2 linked regions of the Arabidopsis thaliana genome follow. The protein of the gene in region 1 purifies or fractionates together with the protein of each later gene. This does not show direct contact. Each region holds a gene or a part of one and is shown on either strand. Other genes may lie near its edges.

The links. Proteins that work in one complex are often made in the same cells at the same time.
Region 2: the proteins of AT1G17960 (region 1) and AT5G02680 fractionate together in Arabidopsis thaliana (co-fractionation; one large-scale study listed by BioGRID). This does not show direct contact.

The regions. Positions count from the first base shown.
Region 1 is NC_003070.9:6,179,366-6,187,413, reverse strand, and holds AT1G17960 (Threonyl-tRNA synthetase), read left to right. Parts: upstream 1-3,607; 5' UTR 3,608-3,676; coding exon 3,677-3,807; intron 3,808-3,918; coding exon 3,919-4,219; intron 4,220-4,368; coding exon 4,369-4,441; intron 4,442-4,497; coding exon 4,498-4,592; intron 4,593-4,835; coding exon 4,836-4,868; intron 4,869-4,958; coding exon 4,959-5,045; intron 5,046-5,140; coding exon 5,141-5,233; intron 5,234-5,314; coding exon 5,315-5,407; intron 5,408-5,499; coding exon 5,500-5,718; intron 5,719-5,816; coding exon 5,817-5,888; intron 5,889-6,116; coding exon 6,117-6,188; intron 6,189-6,291; coding exon 6,292-6,399; 3' UTR 6,400-6,549; downstream 6,550-8,048. Other genes in the region: AT1G17970 (RING/U-box superfamily protein), read right to left, coding at 212-346, 436-570, 656-754, 1,079-1,243, 1,810-2,382.
Region 2 is NC_003076.8:601,920-609,920, forward strand, and holds AT5G02680 (methionine-tRNA ligase), read left to right. Parts: upstream 1-2,998; 5' UTR 2,999-3,097; intron 3,098-3,805; 5' UTR 3,806-3,995; intron 3,996-4,125; 5' UTR 4,126-4,145; coding exon 4,146-4,191; intron 4,192-4,302; coding exon 4,303-4,379; intron 4,380-4,477; coding exon 4,478-4,513; intron 4,514-4,687; coding exon 4,688-4,810; intron 4,811-5,270; exon of another isoform or gene 5,271-5,379; coding exon of another isoform or gene 5,380-5,502; exon of another isoform or gene 5,503-5,517; intron 5,518-5,672; exon of another isoform or gene 5,673-5,746; coding exon 5,747-5,835; intron 5,836-5,934; coding exon 5,935-5,965; 3' UTR 5,966-6,274; downstream 6,275-8,001. Other genes in the region: AT5G02660 (ubiquitin carboxyl-terminal hydrolase-like protein, putative (DUF627 and DUF629)), read left to right, coding at 1-328, 412-552; AT5G02670 (uncharacterized protein), read right to left, coding at 1,052-1,372, 1,494-1,664, 1,834-2,063, 2,201-2,327, 2,418-2,687; AT5G02690 (uncharacterized protein), read left to right, coding at 5,380-5,502; AT5G02700 (F-box/RNI-like superfamily protein), read right to left, coding at 7,462-7,764.

The DNA.
Region 1 (8,048 bases):
TAGGCAACAGAAAACATAGATTTCAAACTCTTGATTTCAATCACATAAATAGACCCAACAAAGAATATAAGATCTTAAAAAAAAAAAATTGTGATTGCTAAATGCAAAAACAACAAATATGAATCAAGTATCAGATGATACAGATCTCTATACAGCAAGGTGGCTTGAAAGATCTTGAGCTATCAGAAACCCGACGAGATACAAAAGTCTTTTAAGGCTTGCCATATGCTGCCTTCTTACAGACCGGACAAGCATTCTTCCTCGAAAGCCATTGTTTCACGCAATGGACATGAAAGCTGTGTCCACAGTTCAATTCCCCAACCTCATCCTCTCTCTCATACTCATCCTGTCACCATCAAACAATAAGGAATAGCATTATGAAACTCATGATCTGTCTGAAGTTTCGAGAAGCCATTGACTCAATCTGGAGTTTACCTGACAGATGCTACATTTTCTATCAACAAGAGTATGTGATACGGATGGTTTGATTTTCCCAAGACAACGATGTATCTCGCTTTCTTTTAGTCCAGTATTCACATAACCAATTCTATCACCAAGCTCAAGAAGTTGCTGCGTAGACCAAAGCAAACACACTCGATAAAGTTGAGAAGATGAGATTGCAAGTGTTTTTCTCATGAGATTTTGAAAAACATACCTCGTATGACATGCTATCAACATCGAGCCTCAATTCGTGGTAGTTATCACGGGAATCTGTTATTCTTCCCATTACAAAACCATTCTGGAGCATCCTCATCTGCAGTGAACAGCAGGAACATGACTACACTAGCTGCATGGTTTAGTTCTTTAACTTGCTCACTTGCTATTAGCCATCCAAAACAGTTTTACAGCACCATACAGCACCAAAGAGAACGATTACATTATTTGTCTTCCACTCTATCAGTCACTAGAATATGTAAGAGACAACTCTAGAATAATCTCTTAGTTGATATGAAGCCAAGTGACAAGTCAAACCTTAACATAGTGTTGAGTGTGATCAGTTAATAAACTAAGAAGTCAAATCTATAACATTTACCAGATGCAAGAAAGACAAGGCAACTATTTGGCAAGAACATTCTACCTCGGTAAGATCATCAGGGTAAGAGCGTGGAAGATGGCCACGACATCTACTTGACAACATCGTTGGTTCAGCGCGTGATGATGTCACAAAAGTAGAATCAGAGTTGAAGATATCATGAGAATGAGTTTCTTGATTGAGAAACCGAATGGGAAGAACAGAAGAACCCTGCAGAACATTTGTAGCATTGTGTTATCATTTCTCAAACACTTAGACATGATGATAGATTCCTAATTTTCAAGTCCTCTGAAGCAATGCGTTTCTTTGATCAAAATAAATCCAACAACTCCCCTAACCAATTGAATCCAACCAAAAAGAAACTTAAACAATGCTAAGATTCCATCCTCTAGCTAAACGAGACAAAAGCATGATAAGATTCCATTCTCTAACCAAACCAGAGTTCGATTAGTTTATTGAGCATCAAACCCAAAAGAACCACCCGCACGTCAAACAAAGAAATTTTCTATATTATCCTCACATGAAACAAAAACTAATAATAGAGAACCGCTACATCTAAAGTAGACCCTTATGATTTGTCTAAACGAGAATCCAAACACATATATTAATAAACCAAACCAAACTAACAATGGCCCAGCAATTGGCATAGAGCTAACTACAACCACTAGAGCTCCAACCACTCCACACAGTTTCTGCCTAAACGATACCATTTCCTCAAAGTCAAAGTCAATAACATAATAACACTAAATTCATCATCCAACTTTAGATCAATTTACCAGTGTGTGATTATAATTGTTGTTATCCACATCAATTTTGCGACGAGACGACGGAATATTCCTTCCCCGAGGAGGATCAACCGATCGACCAATTACAGCATCCGTGGAGAAGCCTAATCCAGGTCTGCACCAAACATCAATAACGTCTCTAGCTTCTTCGCTTAAAATCCTAATCGAACCATCTTCGTAGCTTCCTTTATTCTTCTTTTTCTTTTTCTTATGCTTATGCTTCTTCTTCTTCTTATCTTTTCTAATTCTGGCATCCAAATCCGCGGAGTAGCGAATGACGGAGGGAACAGAAACCTCTTGAGCTGCTGCTGCTGCTGCGGCATAGCAACCCATCCCTCGAAACGACGACGTTTGGTACGGTTTCTTCCTCGTGCTTTCGTTGGAGGAGGAAGTCGGGAGGGGAAAGAAGGAAGACATTGCGGAGTTACAGAAGCGATTAGGTTGTGAAATCGGAAGAACGACGTGGCTTAGCGGCGGATCATCGTCGGCGGCGTGGAGATGACGGATTGTTTGGTTTCTAGCTCGTCGGAGTCTGATGTGCTCGCCGATTGTTGTAGAAGACATTCTCAAAGAAAGAAAGTAAAGGAGATAATGGAAATGTGGGAGAGAGAGAGCGAGACACAGTGCGCGGGGAAGGATGAAAGAGAGTGATTTCAAGCTTGATGATGATGATGATACAGTTTTTGTATAATGATTATAGCTTTTCCTATATAATACTATTAAAGATTTTTTAGTTTTTGTTTTTACATGCAACCATTAGTATGAGATTCCAAACAAAATCAGCTCATGCATATCTTTTGTGAATACTACCAAATTAGAAATAATGATTTTATAAGAGATATTGTTTAGGTTAATTTGAGTATTTCTCTGGGTTTTTAACTTTTTTTGGGCAATTTAGTTTAATGATTTTGCTTATTTTTGGTTTTTCTATTCCAGAAAAGTAAATTTTAAAATTTTTAAAATGATGCTTGCTTGTAAAAATAGGAAAGGTGTCAGTCACTACATGACTCTTTTAAGTCGAAACAATCTTGTTAAATAAATAAAAAGAGAGAGAGTGATTAGATATTATTTTGGTAGAGATAAAGAAGAGACACAAAGTCCAGCTGAAACATCCTACGATAAGCTTAAACATCAAAAGACCACTTCTTTGGTTGGTTTTAATATTTGAACAATCCTCGTATACATAAAGTTGGCACTCTTGAGCTTTGAAGACATCCAGCAAAGCCTTGATGGTTGATGCTCATCGCCACGAAGCCTGAACCGTTTTCCTTTCCAATATTACATTATTGTCTACCAGACCCGGTTCAACCAAATCGAACCCGACTACATTTTTGTAACACGAAACCATCCGAGAACGTTGCAAAACTGATTCTAGCTTCATCATTAATAGGCTTTTAAGAGCCCAAAACTACAAATAATAAGCCCACTTCAAACTGATTTTATAGCTTCCACATTAATAGGCCTAATAATGGTCATTTGGATATTATTGAGAATGCAACAAATATAAATGTGAAACATTAAATCAAAGAAAGTCACGCCAAAATAGGTTATATACATATACTTTTAATTTGCATTTTATCAACAAAACTACAATTCAATTGAAAAGAAATTATAAATATTGTAGAAAATTATTTAAATACAAAAGGAAATTATGTAAAGTTAGGTGCATCTGCCACTTGTTGTTATTACCTTATTACAAAAAATGAAAGGAAAAGCTCTAAAGCTTGGCCCGCAAGTCACTTTAGTGTTGTAGCTATAAAAGGGAAGTTGACCTTGGGATAATCTACTCCTCTGCTCTCAACGTCATCTTCTATATTCTATAGTTTCTATTTGTCCTTCGTTCTCTGCTCATCCATCGATGGCGAATAATCATCATCCCAAGGATGAGGCTTATCTCTCATCCGTCATCCCCAAGCGTATCAGGCTCTTCGAGGAAATCCAAGCCGAGCAGCTTGAGCAGCTTCAATCTCGGCCACACGATCCAATCAAGTAAATACGTTTATGATTAATTGTTCATCATTTTCACTAGGGTGCATCAATTTGTTTGCTAAGCTAGGGTTTTGCAATTAGTTGATTTCTGGTTTTTGTTTCACTGCTTAGGATTACTCTTCTCCCCGACGGTATCGAGAAAGAAGGAAGGAGATGGGAGACCTCTCCAATGGACATCGCAGTGCAGATTTCTAAGGGTTTAGCAAAATCTGCTCTGGTTTCTTCGGTTAATCATGTCTTGTGGGACATGAATAGGCCCCTGGAAGGTGATTGTTCCTTAGAGATTTTCGGATTTGACAGCGACCAAGGCCGTAATACTTTCTGGCATTCTAGCGCCCACATTCTAGGCCAGGCTCTCGAGCAGGAGTATGGATGCAAGCTATGTATTGGACCCTGCGAACCCAGAGATGAAGTAAGAGCTTTGTTCTGTGTTTTTTCCCCTTAATTATGTTTCTTTGGCTAAAAGAGTAAAAAAAGGAGGAGTCAATATTGTTTGGTTCTTGGTATTTCATCTGTAATGTTGCAAAGACGGGCTATCTCTGATGGTAATTGTTATTGCAGGGCTTCTATTACGATTCACTTTATTATGGCGAGCTGGGATTAAACGACAATCATTTTCCAAACATCGAAGCAAGTGTTGCATATATATCTTTTGCTGACATCTTTTTTGTTTTGCGGTATGGAATGTAGAATTACCCATTAGAATGGCCGAATTTGGAGTGTTACACCGAAATGAGGACAGTGGAGCACTTGGTGGAATGACCCGTGTCCGACGGTTTGTACAGGTATGTTTGCATCTTTCTGGACTTTTCTTGTGGTAAAATGTTTAAAACTTAAAAATTGATTGCTTTATATAAAGACTAGCGACATTCAAAATGATATCATGATTAGTTAAGCAGCTTATTTGCCATGTTGAAGTGAAGAAGTTACCCCTTTACTTTACTTTACTTAGTAGTTTGTCAATTTGATTTTAACCCTTTTGTGCGCGTGTTGCTTAATTAAATAACATTGTGCATACTTGTTTTCAGGATGATGCACACATATTCTGTAGAGTGGATCAGGTTTGTGATATTTGTTTCTTATGCAGCAACGTTGGAGCTCCTTATCCTCCCAGTTTCTTATTTTATAGAAATATTCTTATCTATTTGCAGGTTGAGGAAGAAGTGAAGGGTGTGTTGGATTTCATTGACTATGTTTACAGAATATTTGGGTTTACCTATGAACTAACGCTTTCAACGGTAGGATATTTTCACATTTCTTCTCTGCCAAACCTAATATACTTTGCATGGTATGGTCACGTATCTCATTGTTTGCATGTTGGTTTCGACTTCAGAGGCCAAAGGATCACATTGGAGATTTGGAAACATGGGCTAAAGCTGAAAATGATCTTGAAAAAGCTCTAGATGATTTTGGAAAGCCATGGGTTGTATGTGTCACTACTTTCTGATGCTTCTACTCAAAACTTTATAATTCATAGAGAGATTCTAAAGTGTGATGTTTTCTGAAGATAAAGGAAGGAGACGGTGCATTTTATGGCCCAAAGATAGACATAACAGTGTCTGATGCCAGGAATAGGAAATTCCAGTGTGCTACTATACAGGTTAGGCTCCCAAACTCTTTTTAGTTTTTTCCTCTGTTTTTTGTTCTTGATCTCTTACAATAAGATTTTGATCCTTATTTGCTTCGTACCAGCTTGATTTTCAACTTCCGGCTTGCTTCAAACTGAAATACCTAAGTGAAAAAAACGAAATGGAGGCACCTGTGATGATACATAGTGCGGTGTTGGGATCTATTGAGCGTATGTTTGCCATATTGTTGGAACATTACAAAGGAATTTGGCCCTTCTGGCTTAGTCCCCGCCAGGCCATAGTTTGCTCTCTTTCAGAGGATTGTAGTTCCTATGCCAAACAGGTTTTCTTACATTCTTTATTTATGAACCCTCACACCTGCAATTCTTGCAGTGCCTAATCTCTAAGCTTTTTGTTTCCTTTGCACGTACATTCAAACAGGTACAAAAACAGATTAATGAAGTCGGGTACTATGTTGATATTGATGAAAGTGACAGAAGCCTCCGTAAAAAGGTAAATTCTTATGATTACAAGCTTTCCAAATGTTTAGGTCTTTGAGCATATTATACAAGTGAGATTATTTAAGGCCATAAATTTTTATCTCGTAAAGGCTAGTTGTCTAAATTTCATTATAAAATAAAGTCGTTTTTTCTTGGTAGATATGAATGTATATATAGAAATTGCAAAGAAAATGCATAGTTATATGTGTTCACGAGTGTGATGATTTTGTTGTGTTTGTAGGTGGCAGATGCTCGGGATGCACCATACAACTACATACTGGTCGTAGGTCAAAAAGAGGTTGCAACTGGACAGGTTGAGTGTCTCACTTTTTTCTCATGATTCATATCTCTTTGACCATCGAGCTTCTCAAACATTGATTGATCTTTTTGTTTTGTTGGGACTGTAACATTTTCAGGTGACAGTTCGGCTCAGAGAGGACCCTGAAGGCCGTAAAGACTTGCCAGAGATGAGCATCGAAAGTTTGCTTGATGAATTCAAGTTCAAGACAGTCAACTTCCTCTGAGATCCGATGTTTATGGTTTAAAATTTCATTTTTCTGTTGATGATGAATGTATTTCTTTTATAATGGTCTTTTTCATTGTACCAAGACACATTTTGGAATAAAATGTACTATTGAAGTATAATCAACCAATTATCAAAATAAAATCTCGACTTTTGGGACAGTGTTATTTTTGGATTAAGACGCAATGTTTTCTTTGAATTCAAGTTTAATTCAAAGCCAACGAAAGATGTTATGATCTCATAATTGATTTTTTAACACCACTAATGAAAATTTTCAGTTGAATAATCATTTTATTTTCACAAACTTGTCTGAGTGTTTTTAAAAGATGCTATAAGTAAAAACAAGTCTTAATCCTATCTGCATTTGCATCTATCGGCACTTTATTGACTCTGTATGCTCGCTCTCTAAAGTCTTATCACTATTTTGATCTTTTATCATATCTATATCTGATAAATTTCAACTATTTTGAACAATTAATCAACTAGTCACCACTGAAAAATATTCAACGATTCGCGTCATTATTTTCATATGAAGTGATTCTAGGAAATATATACACACATCCAATCAGAAATTAATACATTCTTGTTCTAGTGGGTGTCTTAATCTTATCCAAAATTTGATTAATTCAACATCTTTGTACAATGATCAACGTTTCGTTTCATTATCTTCCATAATAAAATATGTATATACAGTTATGCTTATCTTTTTGGGTTGTTCTTTCGTATTGTCTTAAACAATAATAATCAAGGTGACATACATATCTAACTCAACGAGGAAACCCTAGCAATCATAATGACATCAGTTTCAGAAAAAAGTAAATTGAAAAGAAAAAGAAAACTCGATGATATAAATTCATATATTAATTTCGGATGGAGAATTGTATGGTTATAAGTCGTGTCAAGATGTGTGTTCTTCATCTCCACCTAAATAAAACGAACTATTTTATTCGTGTTTTCTTAAGCTAGACAAAGGTAGATTGCTACTTTTGATTGTATTTCTTGGTGGCTGATAACTACTCCCAACTTAATCATATCTATACTCCAACCTCGATTTCGTCTTTCCGTTATTAACTTATTATTATTCTTCACACAATTAAAGAAACTAAACCAAACTTTATTTTAGAAGTTAAAAGGCTCTCATAAATAAAACCACTAGTTTAAAAAAAAAAAAAACTTTTTCTTTTTTTGATATCATCATCACAAGTTATATGAGTCAAAATAGTCTGCATGAAATTATAATTAAGTAGTACTGTATTAAAAGGATGTTCATTTGGTGGTACATATATTTAGGCACCAATGACATATTTTCTTCGGTTAATAATCAAACCTTATAATATTTGATCTTCCTTAAGAACGCAACAACACAAAAATTATATCCGACGATTGCAAATTAAATTCCACAAAATATAAAATCTTGGTCTCAACTCTCAAGTCCTTCTATTACGATAATTTATAGATTAATCCGGATTCAGGACACAGAATTTTCTCAGTACATACGCATCTTGTAATTTAGACAATATATACCATAGTCCATAGCCAAAATGAGTATAAAGTGAAACTAGGCCAGTTTGGAATAAATTTTTGGTTTTACTTCAGAATTTCAGTTTAAGATTGGTTTCATGACAAACCTTTAAACTTAATAATGTTTTA
Region 2 (8,001 bases), on another chromosome or scaffold:
CTTTGTGTTTCCAAAACCCCCTGACGCTAACAACTATGGGATATGGCTGGCTGTACTACGAGCCATTCACCTCACCGTTAGTCTCTTGGTGGCAAAAATAGCTCGTAAGAAGCAGTTAGTAGAGGATTCCAATGCTTTGCACGAAGCCCAAATTCTTTGTCAACAGAAGAAAAAGGAGAAGGATGAAACGAAGCAGGTTCTTGCAACTCTTCTACCTGAAACATCACCAGAATTTTATGTAGCACATATAGATATCCTAAGTAAGCTGACGGATGACGACGACATTTTAGCTTCCATTGGTAATCTCTTCTCAGGGGTCCTAGAAGAGGTTAGCTTCTAACAGCTCCTAAATCTTCCTTTTTTAAACCTGTTAAACCCTTTTTTAACCTAGGACAATTCCTTTTGCTGCAGGTTGCTGAAACTGACTCTAGTATCCTCTTGATTGAAAAGTCAAGGATTGCTCTACTTGGTGAGCTCAACCAACTAGCGTTTTTTGACTACAGATCTTATGTTGCTAGACACCTCAAAAAGTTTCTGTTAACCAAGCTCTGAGTGAGAGAGGTTTTTTACCATATTTGATTTGTGTTTGAGTGAGAGAGATATGTTCATTTTTCACTTTTTACAAACCAACAAGTTTAGAGTTACCAAATATTGATTTCTGACTCAAAAATAACTTGGTCTCTGTGAATGTGTGTTGTTTTTGCTGCTGGTTTGGATTAGTGCTCTTGCTATAGCTTTGAAAAGGTCTCGTTATGATGATCTTCACTGAAGTTACACGACTCTATAGCTAGCTTGGAACTATGCTTGAAACAGTTGATTTCATTTGTTGTTTAATCTCAAAACTATATCTATATATACATATATGAAGCTACGGATATTTGAAAACATATACAAAACACTAGGACCAACCTAACAAGTCTTTAGAGAGTCTGTCTCCACTGATCCAACCCTAGCTTCCACTGTTGAGATTCTTCAGAGAGAGTCTGTCTCCACTGATCCAACCCTAGCTTCCACTGTTGAGATTCTTCAGAGAGAGTCTGTCTCCACAGATTCAATGTCCGGAGCATTTCTGGTTCTGCGCTGTAATCCCCAGTAAAAGACAATAATGTGTGGCTGCTTTGTAATAGGTTTCTCTTAGTTCCCAGTTTCCACAATACATAGATATCTTCCCAGATTTCTCCAACCAACAGGTCTTTGTCACCTTCTTGCTTCTGTTGTTGCTAGCACACTCACCATTCTTAGGCAGCTGAGATGCTTTCAAAACCGATGACTGGATTCTGCCAACTGGTCCCTGGAAGCAGGAAGCTGTTGAGATTCTGCAGAGAGAGTCTGTCTCCACAGATTCAATGTCCGGAGCATTTCTGGTTCTGCGCTGTAATCCCCAGTAAAAGACAATAATGTGTGGCTGCTTTGTAATAGGTTTCTCTTAGTTCCCAGTTTCCACAACACATAGATATCTTCCCAGATTTCTCCAACCAACAGGTCTTTGTCACCTTCTTGCTTCTGTTGTTGCTAGCACACTCACCATTCTTAGGCAGCTGAGATGCTTTCAAAACCGATGACTGGATTCTGCCAACTGGTCCCTGGAAGCAGGAAGCTGTTGAGATTCTGCAGAGAGAGTCTGTCTCCACAGATTCAGTGTCCGGAACATTTATGGTTCTGAGCTGAAATCCCCAGTAAAAGACAATAACATTTGGCTGCTTTGTAATAGGTTTCTTTTAGTTCCCAGTTTCCACAACACATAGATATCTTCTCAGATTCTCCAACAGGTCTTGTCACCTTTGTAATAGGTTTCTTTTAGTTCCCAGTTTCCACAACACATAGATATCTTACCAGAATCTCCAAGCAACAGGTCTTTGTCACCTTCTTGCTTCTGTTGTTGCTAGCACACTCACAATTCTTAGGTAGCTGAGATGCTTTCAAAACCGATAACTGGATTCTACCAACTGGTCCCAGGAAGCTTCCATTGTTGAGATTCAGTGAGGTGTAATCCCCAGTAAAAGACAATAATGTGTGGCTGCTTTGCTCTGATGGGTTTGGATCACAAAAATGCCATAGACTTCCTGTATTTCAATAACATGTGGAACAAAGCAAAGGCTACAGTCACAGACTATGAGACAGAACACAGAAGATTTCGTATCCCCAAAGAGTTGAACCAAAAGATGGGAAGTGGGTAACTTGATCAGAAGACAACGGAAACGTGACTTAACCCAACCACTGAGATGTTCCTGATTAGCAGCCGAGAGGTGTACATGTGTTTGCATACGGATAGAGCTCAAACAAAATTCTTCATTCTCTGCAGAAGCCTGAGATGTTCTCCACGCAACCTGCATCATCTGTTGCAATTTCCAATAAGCTAGTTAGCCTCTGTGAAGCATTATGTCGAATAGGTGATATGCAACATTTTTGTTCTTGACACTTGGTGACCTCCTCATAGTAATCCGAGCCAATTCCGATGTGGGTTTTTCTTCGTGGTGAATAAAGAACCTATCAATGCCAAAACCAGAGAGTAAATCATCAAAAATTAGGACATGTGATTGTGACTGTAATCGAAATCCAATGGTGAAGAAAACAAGTCCACGATGCTCCTTGAAAGATCGAATTCTCAATCTTCTGTTGTTGGAGAACACAAATCTGTCGCTAAGGTCAAAGCTTTTTCCTCCTCCTTCGATTGCTGTTCTAGACATGATGAATCAGAGTCTGTAATCGTTACTTTCTGTGGCTAGGAGCAGCGAATCCTGACCGTTGGATTGGTTTTTCTTTTTCTTTTTAATGTCCGTGATATTATTGTCTGAAGAAGAAAGAGAGACCAGTTTTGACTTTTGACTTCGAGTAATGAGAAGAAAAAGCACAGTGAGATTGCTGTTCTTGACGTTGAGTCAGAGTCTGTGGCTAGGAGCAGCTTCTTTTGTTTTTTGAATCGACAATGGTTGAGGAATAAACGAAATCCTGACCGTTGGATTTTTTCTTTTCTTTTCTTCTACTTAATAATGTCCGTGATATTATTATTGTCTAAAGGGGAGACCCGAGAAAGAGCGAGACCAGTTTTGACTTTTTGGACATTGTGTGTTTTCGATTCGATCTTTTTTTTCTGAAGGTATGCTTTTGAATTCGATTTTTTTTTTTTTTTCTCGAGATCTTTGCTTCGTGGTGTTTCCTTTGGACTTCGTTTGGTGATATTTCTGGGTTTCGTCTTTTGACGTTTTTTTTTTCTTCTCGATGAAATGTTTACTCAGCTGCCAAATTTCTCTGTTTGATATTGAGTGAGAGAGATTTGTTACTTTTTACAAAATCAACTAGTTTTAGGTTACCAAATTTGGTTTCGGTTTCGATGCTTAAACAATAACTTGGTGTAGTCGGTCTCTGTATGAATGTGTGTGTGTGTTGTTTTTGCTGCTGATTTGGATCTGTGCTTTTGTTATAGCGTTGAAAATGCCTCGTTATGATGACCTTTGAACACGGACTCGTTATATGCTAATTTGGAACTTTGCTTGAAACAGTTGATTTTTATCTGGATTTACATTTGATGTTTTATGCTTTTATCTCAAAACTCTGTATATATGAAGCTACGGATATTTGACCTCTGATATCCTATTTTGAAGTCTCAGCCTTGAGTGCACCACCTGCATGAGGATGTCATGAGATTTTTTTTTTTAGTGGTTTTTGAATCTTGTAACTACTAGTTGTTTTGGAGAAATTATGAGATTGTTCCTAAAATGTTTGGTAGCCCTTGTAATAAAGGTGTCAGCTTTGCTCTTGGGAAATGTTTTCGTTGGTCTTAGATGTTGGTAAATGCATGTTGCAGTTAACAATGCTGGTACTATCAATAAGAACACCAAGATTTGGGAAGTCTCTGCTGAAGATTTTGACAATGTCATCATGGTTAAAGGAGTAGCAAATGTGGCTGCGCCATTTTATCCCTTTGATGTTCCCACGGAAGCAAGAAATTACTGTAAATATGTCTTCTGGATGGTGGAAGATCTGGTGCTGCCCTGGTGAGTTTCATTGTGACTGTAATCCCCTTCATAGCCTGAAACCTCTACTCTGGTGCTGCCCTTGAAGACTTTGCCTTTGTCGTAAGTACTTCCACTTCATAGCCTGAAACCTCTACTCTTTCTTTTCCAGTGTGACTGTGATCCCCATGGATGTCTCTGTCCTTGAGGATCTTATCAGATAGAACACACAAAAAAGGTCTGTTTGGTTCTTGTCTTTTCTGAAGCTATATCCTCAAGGTCTTCTTAAGAAAGGTTTATCTTTTGTGAATTTGATTGTTTTCAACTGCTCATTTTTTTGTTTGTGCAGGTGATGGTTCCTTCTACGTGGCTTGGCACTGGGGAAAATTGGACACTGATGAAGACAATCAGAAAACTACGAAGACGGTCAGTTGATGTTTCACCATAGCTGAGTGTTTCTGTTTGATTTGCTTTTTTCTTCCATTTCTAGAAAATGAGGACATGTGTTTTGTATGGGTTTTCAGGAAAGTTCTCCAAGAGTTAAGGTGTTGGAGTGTTTGGTAATGAAGTAATAGATACAAATATACCTGTCCAAGTATGGAGATACTACTTGCTGACCAACAGGCCTGAAGTAACTGATCGCTGCCTTCTAGGTGTTTCTTCGTTCATCATAGGCATGCATAAACGTGTAAATGTCACCAACACTGGTTTGCTCTGGGGACTCTGCCTTCTAGGTGTCTGACACATTGTTTCCATGGAATGATTTGCAAGCAAAACTGAATGGCGAGTTTCTGAACAACCTAGGCAACTCTGTTAATCGAGCTCTGAGTTTTATAGCAAAGCACATGATAATGCAGGTTGGTTATACTTACTTTCAAATTCAATATTTTTAAGTATTTGGTGTTACCTGTAGATGGCTTTTTAGTTTGGCATATCCAAAAGAAAATATGGGATCTGTTGTATTCTTTTATTCAAACCAGCCAGTTGGTGTGTGCAAGTGAGAGATATTTGAATCGCAGGACATCAGACTATTGTAAAATGTTTGCTTGCGATTTTTGGTTTTCAATCTTTTTTTTGAACAAATAGGTAATTTAAAAACTTGAAAATGATAGAAAGGTGCATCTGGCTTGCAAGAGTCTTTACTATTATGATTATCCTGCTAAAGCTAATGTAACGCTCTCTGATAAGATTCCTCTCTTTGTAAGCTTATATGGACATGGAACGATTAACTGATAGAACATATAAAGATCGTTATACATGTATATGTATATCTGTTCATTCATACACTCTAGTGGATGGTCAAATGTTTGCATTTGGGATAGCATAAATGATCAAATTCTCTTAGAAACAGTTGAGTAATGTTATATGAATCTTGGCGTGGTATGGCTATCTGAGTTTCTGTGCCTGCTTTTTTAGGTTCATAGTAATGTTATATGTTGGGGTCTTAAAGGGTTTATCGATTCTCTTTTCATCGTTGTGTCACATGTATGATTCATCTGGGTCTCTACTTCAAGCAAAGCAAAGACGACGATTCTTCCGGATCCTTTAAAACCAAAGAACTATGGTAAGAGATTTTCCTACTGAAATTGCTTTTAGAAGAACTGCTGCTGGTTTAGTACACCTCTTGTGAGGTCGGTTTGATTGTTTATTTCGAAAATTTTGTTTCTATTTATTTCTAGAATGCCAAGTGTGATTAAAGCTGTCTATTGCATTTTGTAGGTATTTAAGCAGCAAGTAAACCATGGTAGATAACTATGGCAAGACTTGATATTCTATTAGGTAAAATTGTGAAGGCTGAGAAACATCCTAAGGCAAATGCATTGTATGTAGAAGAAATTGATATTGGGGGTGGTGAAATTAATTACCGCTTGAGGAAATGCAGGTTTGTCCAATCAGTCTAGTCATGTGTTTTCTTCCCAATATCATTATCAGTATGTAATCCCTTCTACATTCCAATTGATCTACTGTTGTTTCTGAACAGAACCGTATGGTTTCTGTTCTTTGTAACTTGAAGCCGGCTACAAATGAGGGATATTGTGTTACAAGCAATGGTTCTTGCAGCTTCCAGTAGTGAGGAAAGCAAGGTAGAGTTCACAGGACAGGAGTATCTGAACTGTTTGTAGTTCCGCTATGTTCATTTCGATTGTATAGCAAATTGTTCTTTGCTGGAAACCCTGAATCTGCTAGTATTGGAAAGCGAGTTACATTCAGCTTTTAGCAACCATACAATTTGAGATTTTAATTCTTTTGTGTCGAACTAATTGATGTTTGTCTTCAATTTTTTTTAACTCTTCTGACTGTAATAACAAAGACAGTTGGTCGGGATATAGGAGAAGACAGGGTGGAGAGAGAGCTGATGGGCTTAATTATCTCTCACAACTTCTAGATGGGCTTTCATAAGTTAAAAGCCCATTATGATTTAGTTGGGCTATCAACGTAAACTGAATTGTGATTAGAAAAAAAAAGGAAAAAGATAAACCGAATAATTATGTATGACGTATATGCCGTTGATTTGGAATACTGTATGCAAATCCTGACCGTTACATGTTTAATAATTATGTATAACGTATGCCCTTGTTTTATCGAACGTTAGATTTTTCCTCTGATAAGAGTGTGCAAGGCACGTGACGACCGAAGAGAAAGTCATGTTGGATATTGTATGTCACATGCATGAGGATCCAGTCGCCATGAGACTGAGATTAGGGAGATTAGATTCTAAGGGATATATATGTGAGCAAAGATTCTAATCTCATTTGTTCTTTTGTTGATTCATTGATTTCTTTTATTTTTCTTTGTTGTTCATTGATACAATTGTTTGATTTGATCGTCGATAACCGATAATAATTAAGAGATATTTGAGTTTTAAAAAGCTTATCACACTCATTTGCCAATTATATTCTAATTGCCGTCAGTTCAATGCAAAGGTAAATACCAAATTGGTTTCATCATGCTAGTGAATAGTGTCGATGGAGAATGTTAACACTGGTTATTGATCAACAGTAAAATACAGATCTAGCTGTTGCTGCATATAAGTTTTAAGTACTTATCTTATTGCATCGTAGGTTTCAGTTTAGTTACGATACTGCTTAGTTTCAACAATTCAATGCTTGAGATTTTGATTGTAATGATTAGTTAGACAGAAATTTATATTATGAATGTGTATTAAAATTTTAGTCTAAAGGCTTGACTAGTAAGTATGTCAGATTAATAAGTGAATTATGAAATTACGTAGTCAATAGAGGGACAACAATTTTAAGCTAAAAGATATTAATTTTGTTTAAAACCGAAAAAAAATATCTATTATTCTATTGATGAATGGAATTTTTAAATTTTGGTTTAATTTTAAAACGTGCATGGTAAACTGAAAATTCACTTGGTACGTATTTTTTACGTACTATTATTTAACACAAGTTTTAAGAAAATGTATGTATTTAGCGGAATCACATTTTCAAAACGTAGAAAACTGCATAACATTCAAGGCTAAATAACACAATACAATGTAGTATTTTTAGCAATTGCTTTGTTTGAGCAAAATGGAGACATTATTGTTGCGAGAAAGTGTTTCAACCATGTCAAACAGCTCTTCTTCAAACCATGGTGCATCACCATTAAAGTAGATGCCTCCCAACCAAACAACCATCCTCTCTAGCGTCTTTGCGTTTCTCAGCACCAAATCCATAAACGAAGCCACGAGTTTCAACGTTGCATCATTACAACCCAACATCTTGTAGATCTCCTTTGAGGTAGGAAACACCTCACATGTTGATCTCCAACATTGATCCGGATATAAACCTTTTAAATGATGCATTTTCTGTAGAACATAAAAAATTATCCTATAGAGAATAAGCTCATCTCCAATATATTTTTCAATTAGAGTAACTCAAAAATATAGTAGAGTTTTTTTTTTTTCTTCAATGTACCACTCTATTTTTTTATTTTTATTTTAAAGTGCAAAAAATAGAGTTACTCTAAATGTAAAGCAAACATATATTTTACTCTATTTTAGAATGGAGTTGTAAAGAATTTTGCTATGTAATAAAGTTTAGGG